3 linked regions of the Lepisosteus oculatus genome follow. The protein of the gene in region 1 purifies or fractionates together with the protein of each later gene. This does not show direct contact. Links are inferred from orthologs where the notes say so. Each region holds a gene or a part of one and is shown on either strand. Other genes may lie near its edges.

The links.
Region 2: the proteins of mzt2b (region 1) and tubgcp2 purify together in Homo sapiens (affinity purification with mass spectrometry; 5 studies listed by BioGRID and IntAct, counting the BioPlex papers as one, with this or other methods). This does not show direct contact. The link is inferred for Lepisosteus oculatus from reciprocal best matches to the Homo sapiens genes MZT2B and TUBGCP2.
Region 3: the proteins of mzt2b (region 1) and tubgcp3 purify together in Homo sapiens (affinity purification with mass spectrometry; 3 studies listed by BioGRID and IntAct, counting the BioPlex papers as one, with this or other methods). This does not show direct contact. The link is inferred for Lepisosteus oculatus from reciprocal best matches to the Homo sapiens genes MZT2B and TUBGCP3.

What each region holds. Positions count from the first base shown.
Region 1 is NC_090717.1:14,237,106-14,241,851, reverse strand, and holds the start of mzt2b (mitotic-spindle organizing protein 2), read left to right. Parts: upstream 1-1,870; 5' UTR 1,871-1,975; intron 1,976-2,692; exon of another isoform or gene 2,693-2,732; 5' UTR 2,733-2,735; coding exon 2,736-2,920; intron 2,921-3,956; coding exon 3,957-4,105; intron 4,106-4,746. UniProt on the Homo sapiens protein: Required for the recruitment and the assembly of the gamma-tubulin ring complex (gTuRC) at the centrosome.
Region 2 is NC_090699.1:17,553,705-17,558,450, reverse strand, and holds the start of tubgcp2 (gamma-tubulin complex component 2), read right to left. Parts: upstream 3,008-4,746; 5' UTR 2,858-3,007; intron 2,248-2,857; 5' UTR 2,239-2,247; coding exon 2,089-2,238; intron 1,104-2,088; coding exon 975-1,103; intron 879-974; coding exon 705-878; intron 287-704; coding exon 130-286; intron 1-129. Other genes in the region: znf511 (zinc finger protein 511), read left to right, coding at 3,435-3,644. UniProt on the Homo sapiens protein: Component of the gamma-tubulin ring complex (gTuRC) which mediates microtubule nucleation.
Region 3 is NC_090710.1:26,104,395-26,109,140, forward strand, and holds the start of tubgcp3 (gamma-tubulin complex component 3), read left to right. Parts: upstream 1-1,642; 5' UTR 1,643-1,788; coding exon 1,789-1,864; intron 1,865-3,585; coding exon 3,586-3,693; intron 3,694-4,124; coding exon 4,125-4,192; intron 4,193-4,746. UniProt on the Homo sapiens protein: Component of the gamma-tubulin ring complex (gTuRC) which mediates microtubule nucleation.

The sequences.
Region 1 (4,746 bases):
TGACTTCTTTTTAAATTATTTTTTTTAAATACTTTGAAATCTCCCAGTTAGATTTCAACAATTAAAATGCGCTATTTGGCAAATATATGAGTCAGAAATTGAATTTAGCCATTGACAGCTAGTATTGATGGGGACGTTCAGGCTGAGGGCATTACTCTTATTCAGGGAACGATTTTTTACTTGCCAATATATACCCAAAGGTAAAAAAAAGCTCTGTGTTGAAATACCCTACTCTCATATGTGTACATCTCGATTCTTCCCCTGACTGCACGGTAGACACAAAGCACTGAGACATGAGAAATGTCAGCCTCAATGAAAGCTTTTAGATGTTTCTATAATTGTTCTGGCAATAGGTTGTTTTGTCAAGTCATACTTGACATATTGAACACTACTGTGATCTGTGATAAAAGTCAGAGAGCATTTGATTTAATTATTTAGCTGATTGCGTTTCTTAACTAGAGACGGAACAATACCTTTCCAGAGGCACGGCTCAGTGATAAATGCAAGTGGACATCACCATGATAGTGATAAACGCGTTACACTAAATTTCTCCATTTAATTTCAACGTCGTGCCTGCTGCTCTTGAAATATAATTACAGTTAGACAAAAGGAATGATTATATCCTGTTTTTATGAGAAATGGAAGTTATATTCGGGGCGAAGTTTATGATAGCTGGCTTTAAAACAAAGCAACACCTGGTGATCCTTTTTTTTTGTTGGCAGCTGAACTAAAATTCGTTTAGTGGAGTTTGACGCCCTCTACTGGACGGATTGGACGTCCAGATTCGGTTTATCGTCTAAAATCAGATGTCCAGATGTTATAATAATAATTACTCACACTTATATAGCGCTTTTCTGGACACTCCACTCAAAGCGCTTTACAGGTAATGGGGATCCCCTCCACCCCCACCAATGTGCAGCCCCACCTGGATGAATTATAGTTATACATTTTTACTTCAAGGTATAAAGGTATGTGTGCGGGTATTTGACGTTGTAGACCACAACCAAAATTGATCTTGAAATCTGTGCAAATGCGACTGATTTATTATGGTAGGATATGCCTCGGAATTATCCATGTTCAAATAATTCTCGTTCTGTCCTTTATCATTAATTAGTCTGAATCTTGTATCCAAAAAATCATCCAGGCGGGGCTGCACACTGGTGGTGGTGGAGGGGATCCCCATTACCTGTAAAGCGCTTTGAGTGGAGTGTCCAAAAAAGCGCTATATAAGTGTAAGCAATTATTATTATTATTATTATTATTATTATTATTATTATTATTATTATTATTTTATTGTTATTATTAAAAAGCGACATTCATCACTATACATTTGTAGAGCTAGGTATATAGTTTACTCTAGGGTACAACAGGAGTATTTTGGGATTTGACCCGACAACCTTTCTACAGATCTAGCGAGTCATTATCTGCTGTTCATCAGAAATTAGTCCAAATTGTGATAGATAAACGATCGCTGTAATTTTTATGTCAGTCTGTGTGACGATAAACAGTGGAGTAAAAAATGGACAACATTACCAACCATGAGTGGTAACATCGGAGTTATTTTAGTTCGACGAAACAACAACAAATTACTAGAAGCAGATTTAGCATAATTCATACAGAAAAATACATTATTTTATTCGTTTATTTTTGGGAAAAGCGGAAAGCGAACTGGAAAATAATCACACAATGACATTCAACTTCAAACATTCTTGACGTTGTCATTCAACATGCCTTTCGTTAAAAAGGTTATCATCTTATATTATTTAAAAATATGTGCATTGATTATTTAAAGTAATTTTGAAACAGGACCGTCCAGCAGCGGTTCACATGGCACACTCTCTGCATGAGGAACTGCGGTGCGCGATCGTGTTTCCACTCGGCTCGGAGTGTAGAGGAGCACAGATAGTTTCCACCCGAGAAACTTTCTGGGTGGGACCTGCGTCGTTACGGAATTGACAGCTGTGTTATCTTTAAGGTAAGAAACATATACTCTATTAAAATGCCAGCGGTGCTATATCTCAGCACGTTGGCTGAGTTAGTAAAGGTGATGCAGTGTGTTAGCCTTAGAGAGTTTGTTTTCCTTTTTGTAGACCGAGCGAGTTTCTTGGATTTGCATTGATGAAGCAGTTGTACTCGAGCCCTGTTTTCAATTCACACGGAGTTATTCAGAATCACTCTCATTGATTCGGAATTGGCGAGCGGGCAGGGACGAATATTTGACTGATTCTAAAAACAGGTGATGCAGAAAACGTCCCTGACTGGTGTGGGATCCGCTTTGACCACCAGTAATAAACGGGATTTTGTGCTGATCTCCGCGATCTGCCGTTCATGTTTGTGAACTAATACGAACGTCCGTAGAGCAAATTAGAAAACATGATTAAACATTATTCATTAGGGCTTTTGCAATAGCAAAGCACTGCGAATATGGGGTTAGAGAGGCATGATAAGCAAAGATACAAGACACAAGTCTTGTCTATAAGATATGATTTTTAATTAAACGAAACAAAAATACCTATTCTTTTTTGTATTGAAAGCTAACAAAGTACGGTATTTTCAGTGGCCTTTAGGCGTCCTGCGAGACGTTTTGATTCCTCTAGGCAGGGGGTGTAAATATGGTCAGGTTTTAGCTAATGCTTTGTGCAGGTGTCGATGTTTCTGCTCATACTCGTTAGTCTCAATCGACAACGTGCAGCACAGAAACCGGCAGCGACGGGGTCTCTCTGCCCTGCCAGGGAATGGCGCTCTCTCAGCAGGCCGCCGCGCTGGCGCCCAGCCTGGAGCCGCCCGCCCTGGTGGCCACGGTGAGTGGGAACGTCCAGAAGTACGCCCTGAAGAAAAAGAAGGTCCTCAGTGCGGAGGAGACGGACCTGTTCGAGCTGGCGCAGGCGGCCGGGATCACGGTGGACCAGGAGGTGTTCAAGTAAGGCCCAGCAGAGCACACACACTGGTTCTGTACTGCTTGCTTCCCCTGCTGGCCTTTCCAACATGATGAGCTTCAGCTCAGTCTATTTGTCATGTGCACAAGTGCACTGAAATGCTTATTTGCATGTGCACTCCGATACAGAGCGCATCAGGGTGAGCCAGCGGTAGGGGTAGAGTTCAGTAATCTGATAGCTTGTGGGACGAAACTGTCTCTGACTCTGGAATTCATCCAGCCATCTTCCAACCGCTTTTTCCAGTTCAGGGTCATGGGGGAGCCAGCGTCTGTCCCAGCAGGACACACACAGACACACACAGACACACACAGACACACACAGACACACACAGACACACCAGGGCCAGTTTCCCCAGAAGGCAGTGAATGTTTTTGGACTATGGGAGGAAACTGGAGCACCTGGAGGAATCCCAAACACAGGGAGAACATACAGAGCACACATAAAGCACCCTGGGTCTGGATTGCTGTCCGATCCAGCGATGCTAATCACTGCACCACTGAGCTGCCCTACTGAAACTCACTCACATGCAAAGCTGAATTAGAACTGCAGTGGAGGGGAGGGTATAATGGAGTTCTACATAAAATGGATTTGCAAAGATAAAGATTTTTGATCCTTTCTTAATGTGGGTTCTGAGAGCCATATAAAGGCCTCCACGCTGTTGGAAAGCATGTGGTTTATTCCAGAGGGGTGTTGTACACATTTGCAAACAGTTCCAGGGTTAAAGTCTATCTGAAATACAGCTCCCATCGGATGGCTGATCTGCGTGTTTCATAACCTTATAGTGTGAACAGAAGTGAACAGCATGCCCAAGAATGTGTATATATTCATTCAGTTTCTTTTGTGCTGATTCATAATGCATGGTGACTTTTGTGGAAGAACAATTGCTGATCCCCAAATTTTGGGGATACAGAAAGGAACAATTTTAACAATTTTTTAAAACAGAAGAAACCTGGAGTATGACCTAAAGCAATCTGCGACAGTGTTAATGTCTCTGTAAACTTTCATGCGGTCTGTCCTCAGGATCATTGTGGACCTGCTGAAGATGAATGTTGCTCCTCTGGCCGTCTTCCAGATGCTGAAGGCCATGTGTGCTGGACAGAGGATCGCTGACACCTCGGCTGGGGAGAGTTTGTCTGGGTCCCAGCACATTGCGGCCCCTGAGCCCAGAGGTTAGACAGTGGGGGCCAAACAGGTCATGGTCAGGCTTAGGGGCTCCATGCCTTCCTCTGTGAAAGTTTACATTAGTACCTATTATTGGCAGTGTTGCGCTTTTATTATGGTGTTCATCTGGTTGCACACAAACCTTTCCTGTAGCCCTGCCATGCTGTAGGTGTGTTTTATTATACTATGTAAAGAACGTGCCATAATGTACTGTAGCAAATGTTCGTAAGTGTGTGTAGCGTTCAGTTAGGGTCTAGCGTAATAGGGCAAAGTGACCTGATAAAAACGTAGAAAAACATTCACAATACCCAAGTGAATTAGTGCTGAACACCATAGTAAGTAAGCAATTATCATTCAGCTTTGCTATGGTGATCACTTGCTTTTCATTGCTACAAGCCTGGCTTCTAATCCTATGGAAAAATATCAGAAGACAAATCTTTAAATATATAACGTTATCCCACAGCATCTTGATGCCACCAAGACTTATATTTCTTCAGCCTGGGCTTAAGCTGGAAGGGCTTGAATTGCACAACATTATTTTGGGTGATATTTAAGATTCCGGCTCTAGGTTCTTAGTGGGATTGGGGGGTCTCCGTAGTAATGCAGGCCACCTCCTGCCTTTGACATGCTAGGTGGGTATGTGACTTGA
Region 2 (4,746 bases), on another chromosome or scaffold:
GTTCATCCACTCCACTTGCTGTAATGCTGTAATAGTAAACGTTGAGCAATGCGGCGTGGATAAAATTAAAACTCGGTCTCATTTTTCTGATGTGCAGAGAATTGCACATCGCAGCTTAGAAAGACTTACCAATAGGCACTGCTGAGTCAGTCCCACTGGAGCCGGTGATAAAATCCCCAAGAAGAGCAGGCCTGTCGTACACCCAGTTGGGAAACACTGGAATTGGCTGCAGGGGACTCTTCTTATTGTGTCTGTCCCTCAGCATCTTCCTCGTCACCTCGGAGGGCTACAGGAAGTCAGGACACACAAGGGTGGAGTCCCGCCTTTCTAAACGTATTTACTTTGCTCCAGTAAACTTAAAGCAATCAACATAGAAAAATGCAAAAGGAAATCCTAACGCTAAAGCTTGTGCCGTGCAAAGTTAGAGCATGGGACACAACATTATTCTACAAAGGTTATTCCCGACTGTACAAAAGGTCTCTAACCATACTCCTGGGAAGCTTAAATGGCTTCTGCTACTAATTCGAGGCAACATTTCAGCCAACTTTTGGTTTAATAAGCCCATGTGAACACTTTCTTTCAATCACAGACTGGGGCTCTCTGTTGCCAGGGCTCTTCAATACACACAGCAGTGTAATGTCTCTGACTTCTTAATCACAGGAAGACAGAAGAGACTGAGGAGCCTAAAGAGGATATGGGCTTACCTGCTGTACACTGGAGCTGGCTGCCACATTCCCAAGTTTCTTCCTTAGCTCCTCCAGCTCTTGCATGGACATCTTTGTGCTGGTGGCAGGGATGCTGAAGTTTGTGCTGCTGGAGGAGGCACTGGCTGACTGCTCAGATCTTTCCTTGGCATTCTGCTGTAGACACTGCAGGGTCTAAAAAACAATGAAATACCCGCATTTACTGTAAGACTGCTACAGCCACGTCCCTCACATCAAAGTGTTTTTATTATCTGCAGGTACTTCCATCACCTCCTTATCTTCAGTCAGCTTGGACAGCAGGTAGACCAGAGGATCCACGTTTCGCACATTCCTGGATTTGAGCTCATCGTATTTCTTCAGGAAGTCTTCTGGTGTCTTAGAAAATTCCGCTATTTTTACCTGCAATGAAACATTTTCTCAGTCAACCGATAATTGGCTGGTTAAATATTTCTTTTAGAAAAAACAAGACTGATGCAAAACAATGGTACTTTGAAGAGATAGCCAACATGGATTTAGAAAGGGAAGATAACTTACTGGAACTTGCTGAACAAGCAGTAAAGACAAAAGTTAACACAAAAGTAAAGTAAAGTTTCTATTTATCTTTAGGCCAGTTTCTCTTTCCTATATCAGCTAATTTAGATTCTGCTATATTTCAGAAACTAATTAGATTTCCAGAAAACGCAAACATAGGAGAGGCGCCCCACACAGAACTTCAGCTACTGAACTACAAAGACACACGGATGAAATCAAGGACAAGGAATCACGTGATTGCACATGAAGTTTATGTCAACAGTGCAATCTGATCCACAGAGGAACACACACTACACATACAGTATCATAATACTATGGGTGACTGTGACCTGCAAGAACATATGGATATGGAAGAGACAGATGTGTTTATGTAGCATTCTCTTTATTGGCTGTGGGGAAGCAATGAAAAAGCACATACAGTACAATGCTTGCTACAGCAAATATTGTTCAGCTTTAATTAAGAGACAAGGACCAAAAGGGAATATGTTTAGGATTAAAACATCCTTTAAATGAAGAATGGTGGTTTCTGGAGCAGGCTTCCTAGCTAAGTGGTTGAGGATCAAACTTTGTTCTCCTTCAAGAAATGACTGGATGAAATGTTAGATTCAGCTGATAAACTACAAGCACAAAGCTTGACAATGAGAAAACGAGTAAGAAAAACACCTTGATTTGCACCTGGTCTCCCTTTCATTGGAAGGAACGTGGGTTAGAAAACATAAAAAGCCTTTGCATGTCAAGAGAACGGTGCCAGTCTTAAATCCAGAACTTTAAACGTCGGTAGGACAGAGTGAAGAAACCGAAACATGTGACAGCAGTCTGCTCCACAGTGGCCGATATTACCCCCGATCCCCACCTTGGCGCTGTGCGCGGACACTGTTGTGGTGACGTAGGGAGTTCTGTTCTTCTGCAGCAGGTCGATGTACACCTCGGCTCCATCTCCTCCGCGGACATGCAGCAAGCTGAGCAGCTCGTTCACGTCGTGGTGAATCCGGAACTCGCTCATGGCTACTCTCTAGAAGGGGAGAGGGAGACTTCCGAATAACCATGCTTTACAATAATAAGGAAATAAAAATGTATAAAAGGTCTGGTGGCTTTTTAATAGATGGAAAAGGTGTATAAAGGGATTTTTTGACAGTAGTTTTGATGCAGACTAGACGTGGTTGTCACTTTGAAATGTACCAGGAGCATAAATTACGGGAAGAAGACACTACTTTGAGGAGAATCATACAAAGTTACAAGAGCTGAACGGGTACGGATACAGCAGTACTGTACAAACATCCTGCTTGCGAATTATTTCTCCAACAGTGGGCAAATACACAGATGATGCATGTACACTAGTAACAGATTTTGTCAGTAACCTACCTTTAGGACACTCTAGATCGTTAAAAGAAATGTGTACTTATTTGTTGTCTCGGTCCAACGATGTTTATACTGTATTCGACCACAAACTAGACCGCTAGCATCTAGAGTGAGTTACACACAAACAGCAAAGATGCTGAGAACACCAGCACATCGGATACACAAATAAACCAGTAATTAATAATTCGTCTTTATCTTCGGTTAATGACCAGCATACTATAATACAAATACAAGTAATAAATGTGTCAGCCAAATGGACTTACCGCCCCTTAGCAGCGCGAAACACAAACACTGCACTTCGCTCCGCCCTGTAAAAGCTTCCGCCACTGCAGGGAAACAGTATCTCACCAAAGAGGTTCCTCCCCGACACCCTCCAGTCCACAGCCTCAAGACTGTAAGGAGCAAACCGTAAGAACATTTGACTTTCACAGTCAATGGCTGATCCTCTTTTCATGTAAAAATGGTTTTGGATACACATGAAATGTGTATTTCTGCATGTGTTCCCAACGTAATCATTTAATGTTTGTTTTTGTTTGGCAATAACTGAAACTGCTGAAGCGTTTTACACTCTTCCAAGGTTGCTGTAAAAGTGCAATTGCCTTCCAGATGTCGCAAATAAATTGAGATTTCAGTCAAAATTAGTCCTTTGGAGCAAACGCAATAAAATTGCTCAAATGTTTTTTCGGTTACATAGGAAGTGTCCGTCTCCATCGCCTCTAACCCCAGGAGCAGCAGGACCACGGAGACACCCTGAGCTGGGCCGCGCCTGCGTCATGAAGTGTAGCCGAGGAAGCGCAACAAATGACGTAACAGCAGCGTGCTTGCGATATTGTAACTGACATGTTGCCGCTCGAATTAATCCGGTTTTTAACAGCAGCAGGCACCAGCAGCACCGACATTCAGGCGATACCAGTCCTGCCAGTCCAGCGGATAGCAGAAGAGCCCAGTGCGGTACAGCAAGTCAGTGGCGATGGTGAAAACGTCTGCAGCTCGCCTTTTGATTTCACTCCGCAACGAATACGGTTAAACAAGGACCACGAATTATTTGAAGTACGTTTTTTTTTCGAATTGAGTAAGAACTGTGAATTAAGCGACTTAATGAGACTTGGTGCTGCTCAGTTCCCATGACTGCTTGCTGTATGTGTGTGTAGGGTGGGCTGTGCTCCAGGGTTTCTACGCCTCGGCAATCTCTGCAGTCTCTGCAGCTGCTCCAGTGCTGCTGTAGCTCCGACTGCTTCCCACCGAAAGCCTTTGCATAACTCATGCTTTCGCTACCTATTTCCGTGTCACTATATGTAATGTGCTCTGGAGACAAAACATGCAAAATATGGCGGTGTAGTTTTTTTATTATACTTTTTTCATCTTTAGAATCAACATTTTATTCTTTTAATTCATAATAAACAAAACAATCGGAAGGAAATAAAATCGGTCTACCAAGAAAGCAATAGGAATTTTCCATGCAAAAACTGAGACCAGCCTTCTCATTATTTTTGTATTCCGGTCTCCGTGAGTCTTTGTGATGATGCCGTTGTAATAGAAGTTATTCAGTATACAGACCGGAATGCTCCCACAGGTGTGCGGAGCCTGAAAGGTGCTCCAGTCCTGCTGGCCCAGGAGATCTGATGAATGTTGTGGGAGTGCAGTTCATTAGCAGGGAGACGCGCTGCAGAAAGACGGAGATTGAATTCCAGTGTGGAATGAGTCACGCGTGTCGACTCTTCTTGAGTGGGACCTGTGTCCGTAACCTTGCTGATGTTTTTATATTCGACTGGACGATATTTTTAATTTACCACAACTCAAGAGTTTCAGAATTAGTTAAAGAAGCATCTTGAAGTGTTTTAAGAATCCGTTGGATTCTTGAAGCCTAAAATGATATAGGACATACTGTAAGGGGACGTGATTGCTATCATTTTCGACAGGCATGGTGTCTTTCCTTATATGGCTTAGTGGTTGGCACCGTTAAGCCTTAAAGGATGAAAATACGTGATGCATCTTCCAAAGGGTGTTTGCCTTCTCATCTGTATAAAACCTGAAAATCAATAACAGAAATTGTTAGTTCCACGAAGAGATTGAGAACTCATCTGAAAGGCATGCAGCAGACACTTTGATGCTCTTGGGCAGCAGTGGGCATTCCTGCCCCTTTCTTTAAATA
Region 3 (4,746 bases), on another chromosome or scaffold:
AGTGCATTCTTGTCTGGAAAAGATCTGCCCCGAAACCAAAATAATCACAAAGAAAGCAAAATCCAGGGTTTTGTTAATACCAAAGCTGACACCATCTGAGGTTTTTGAAGAGGTGCACGAAAATGCAATAAATCCAAGAAAGATGTAAAATTATACTAATCGACAGCACCAGGTTGTATCAGTAAAGTCTGCATAGTGTTCTTGCTCATGTAAGACAACAGAAGGGTTTGAATATGGCTTGGGGGGTGGGGTATGTATAGGATATGTAATCAAATTCAGCGATTGTTAACCACTTAGAAATAACTCAAGAGCCGCATCCAAACCATATCGGTTACCAACTCATCTTCCACACTTTGTTGCTAAACGCAAACAAGGGCATGGACATACGTCTTTGGCATTCTAAACTGAGATGTGTATCTAACACCATGTGACAATGAGGCAGCCGAATCAAACGTAAGAGTGTAAAAATAAATACTTAATCAGGCTGAAGCTCGTCCATGGATCAAACTTATAACATATCCTTAATGGAGGACCACTTGCTGAACAGTGTAATCATCAATACATCAATACCTTTTTCCTGATTATTATTAGTTATTAATGGACCTTGTCTCCTGTTAAAATTAACGCAGCAAAGGAAACAATTGTCAGCAGAGATAACGTTATTTTTTTTAAAGACTACTTTATATTCCCTATTTATCCTTTACATGCTGGAGTAACTCTTAAAACGTCTTCAAGAGTTTTCATTTATTCTGCGCCCTGTGGAAAGCAACCGAAGCTAGCAAGAGAACAAAAGTATTATATCGTTGTTATTGGGATTAATTCGTTTTTTGTAATAAATTTTGACTTGATTGCTTACTTGCCTGACAGCTAGCATACGATTTTCTTTTAAAAAAATGGAAATCATTGAATTTTGTTACATTGCTGTTTTTTCATCTTTTATTACAAATATTCCACAAACACTAGTCATTCGTAATAAAATATTAACAACTGAATGCATAAATAACACTTTCAATGTACTTTGTATGTTTATATTTTGGATTCTACGTTCTGTTCCTTATTAATACATACAACTAATATTGAAATCAAATAATCAAAATAATATTGATTTATATTTATCACACAAGTACAATGAGTAATATACAAGAACAGGTCGTTAACACGTCAATTCTAATTCAGAATATTGATAATATGCAGATTATATATTAAATTTGATGATATTACTATTTTAATTGCAAACAGCAAAAACACTAGTGGAAATAAAGAAGATAAATGCAGTTTATGGGATCTATTGTATTTCAGACCTTTTTGCCAGATTAGGAATATAACCAGTTTTCATCAGGTGCGACACGTTTGTGAACAAAATGTTCTTAAAGACCATATAAACGCTTTTCATCTACAATCTTCACCTTTCGAAACTCCCCCAAACGATATTTGACGTGTCGAAGAAAAGAACGATCGTGCAAGGCAAGTGCAGTCGTGAAAATTGAATTATCTTCGTTTTCTTAAGTGATAAACCCCAACGCACGCCTAAAACAGAAAAGGTAGGAACTGATGTCATGCTAGGAACCACTCTTGCGTTTCTCGTTCTTCGGAGGGCAGTATTTTTGTTCGATTCTCCCTTGCCTTTCGGAGGATTATGGGACACCTCCATAGATAACACAGTGAAGAGCGCTGTCGGCGGGTTTAGCGAAAATGGCGCCGTTGCTAAGAGCGGAAAGCCACGGCAAAAATAACGGCTGCAGGTAGATTTGGACAGCGACCCGGAGCCGTGTCAGACAGATCCCTGATATGGCAGGCTTGGATCAAAAATCGCCCAACGTCTTGCTACAAAGTCTCTGTTGCAGGATAACTGGGAAGAGCGAAGGTAACAGCGGCAAGGGGAATATTTTAAGTAACGTGCTTGTTCCATCATAGTTCAACATCATACTGCATGAGCACAGAGAATGAGTCAGTAGATGTTTTTACAGTAAGCATATTGGCAGAAAACAAATCAATAAGGCGACGCCTAAATGATCGTCTTTCCACGTTGGAAGCAGGAGTTTTTTTTGACGGAGTAGTGAATAAAGCGCCTTTCCTCGCTAACAGTCCCCTCTTTCTCTGACTGTTGAAATCTGCAGAACAGGCCAGTGTTCATCTCTTGAGCAGATGTCTGGTATCGTTAGACACATTTTATTTGATAAAAACAACTATAATAATTACGCGGTTTTAATTCACGATGGCCGGCAGCAGGCGAGTTTTTTTATCTTGCTAGTTGGGGGAAGACTCATTTACCATTTCTATTTGTAGTGAATGTACTGGCTGGAGAATTGGCCCTGATGAAATTATGACATGATTGGTAGGTCGATAAAGATGGAAGAAAGTAGGGATATATTTCTTTGGCAAAGAAGCAAAAAAAGTCCTTTGTCCTTGAGCTGCTATTGTAATGTGATGAAGAAGTGCTTTTATTTGAAAGACTCCAGTTCACAAGCGTATAGTTTTGTAATCTCCTGTGCCAGTGTGCTATTTATCTTATATACTGCCTTTAATAGCGCTTTATAACCGATATCGGATATTATGAGCTGCATCTTAATTGGCACAATATGATCCCAGAATTTTTGTCAGATGCAAAACTAAAAGTATGAGCACGGACCTTAATAGGTTGGTAAATCCTACTGTTTGTGAGCTTTTAGGGAGTTTGTGATCTGGAAATTGGCCGAGGTCAAGGGGGGAAGTTCATGGCTTCAAGCGTTCTCATTCCCTACCCAGCCTCTCAGTGGGGAATCTTAGTGGTTTATCTGGACTCCCTGCAACTGAAGGTGAACAGATGGGGGTGAAGACAGTTCACGTTTAAATAACACAGGAATGATTTTTTTGTATTTATCTCTAGTCTTAAAAAGCAACTGATTCTTGTATACCAAAATCCAGAATGTGCCTGAAGCTGTAACTGTGAAGAGTCGTTTCTAACTGAAATTGCAGGACCCTTTATTCATGTACTTTTTAATACATTGTAACTTCAGGTGTTTTAGGGAAGAATGAATAGACTGCATTTAGAACAGTCTCACTGGCTGCCAAAGAAGGTATTATTCCTCATGAAGGCCTTTGCTGCTTTTTGATTCTTTGTATTCTTGGCAGACTGTTGTTAAGGAAGTTCTTCAGCTGTAACACCAAGGTCTTTATTCATGTGGTGAAAGAGGAATATGGTGCATTGTGATTTACATTGGCCTAAATCTGAGACATTTGGTTGCTTGTTGTTCTCATTCTTCTCTGGTCCCCTTTGTCTGTAGGGCTCAGTGACATTCTCCATTTTTAGTGTCTTTATACTTACATGATGGCATCACAGCAGAGACCCACTTGTTCATGATTCAGATTTGCTGGGAGTCACAGTCTTGTTGTCACAAAGCACACACAATTTGGTTCCTTCTTATGGCAGGATGTTGAGGTTGAAAGCTGAGTTTAAGAGCTTAAGAATTTTCTTTTCTTTAAGGCCTGAAAATCTCTGTGACATTATCCACCTGTGTGATATCTCAGTTTGCTGTGGTGGCCTGTAATCTCGGGATCTGTTGGATTGTAGTTATTGTCATTAAAATTATCTTCTGCTTTTTTCAGCCGATGTCGCCCACCAGTTCCAGTATGCTGTGCGAGTCATTGGAAGTAATTATGCTCCTACAATTGAACGGGATGAGTTTCTTGTAGGTGAAAAGATCAAGAAGGAACGTGAGTTTGTTTAAAATAAAACCTTTTGATGTTGCATGTTTTTTCAGAAGTGTTAATTAATATTGCAGTATTAATATTAAGCCCTTAATAGTATGCTGTATGTAATTTTTTAGTTTTTTTAGTTCGTGCATCTAGTTATAAGTTCTGAAAACTTGATTTCTGTATGTGTCAGAAACAGTATCCCTTAAGATTTCCATTTATACGGTTCCATAAAACCTCAGTTTATATTGTGATCATCTATATCTTAATTAAACAACACTTCTCTGGGCTGAAAGGTTTTTATTGTTTTCTTAATGGCAAATGTTTATCTCTGGGAAGAAAAAACAATTACATTTGGGAGATTACGCCATATTCATGTCACATAGTGTCATTTTAATATTTAATGTGATTGTGGTGTTTATCATGATTTAACAGGCACTTTATTTCTGCAGTTGTGAAGCAAAGAAGAGAAGCAGATGCAGCACTTTTTTCTGAGCTTCACAGGAAACTTCAGTCACAGGTTTGTTTTTTGAGAAACGTATTGAAAACAAAACGATAATACATGAAACGCAGAACAGATAAGGCTACATTACCTTTCAGTTTGAATACTCTCTTCTATTCCAGTATTGGTGGTATTGCTTTTGTAGCAAGGCATTTGAGGCATTAGGTTAATCATGCAAGTGCTTGAAAAATGTTAAATATTTACAGATTTGAAAAGGTAAAACCACTGTATGGACTCTGTAGGTTTGTACAAGATATTGAAATTCTTTGCTGCTGCACAACTCTTAACTTTATTTTGGAATTGAACTGAATGACTGTTTAGTTTTATATGAAGCAGTTGCTTGGTATTATAGTGCCAAGCAGATTTGCAGATGTGTTTTGGTCACATCTGCAAAATGTAGTATATGAAATTGGATCTTTTGCAAAAATGCTATTTCAGCAGAATGCAAAATCCATTACTAAAATATGTAATTGAATATAATTCCTTGGTAATATTCCGTTTCAGACTACCACCATAGCTAATAGTGTTCAGCTTACATAAACAGGGTAAATTGGAATTTCAGTTCTCTGATA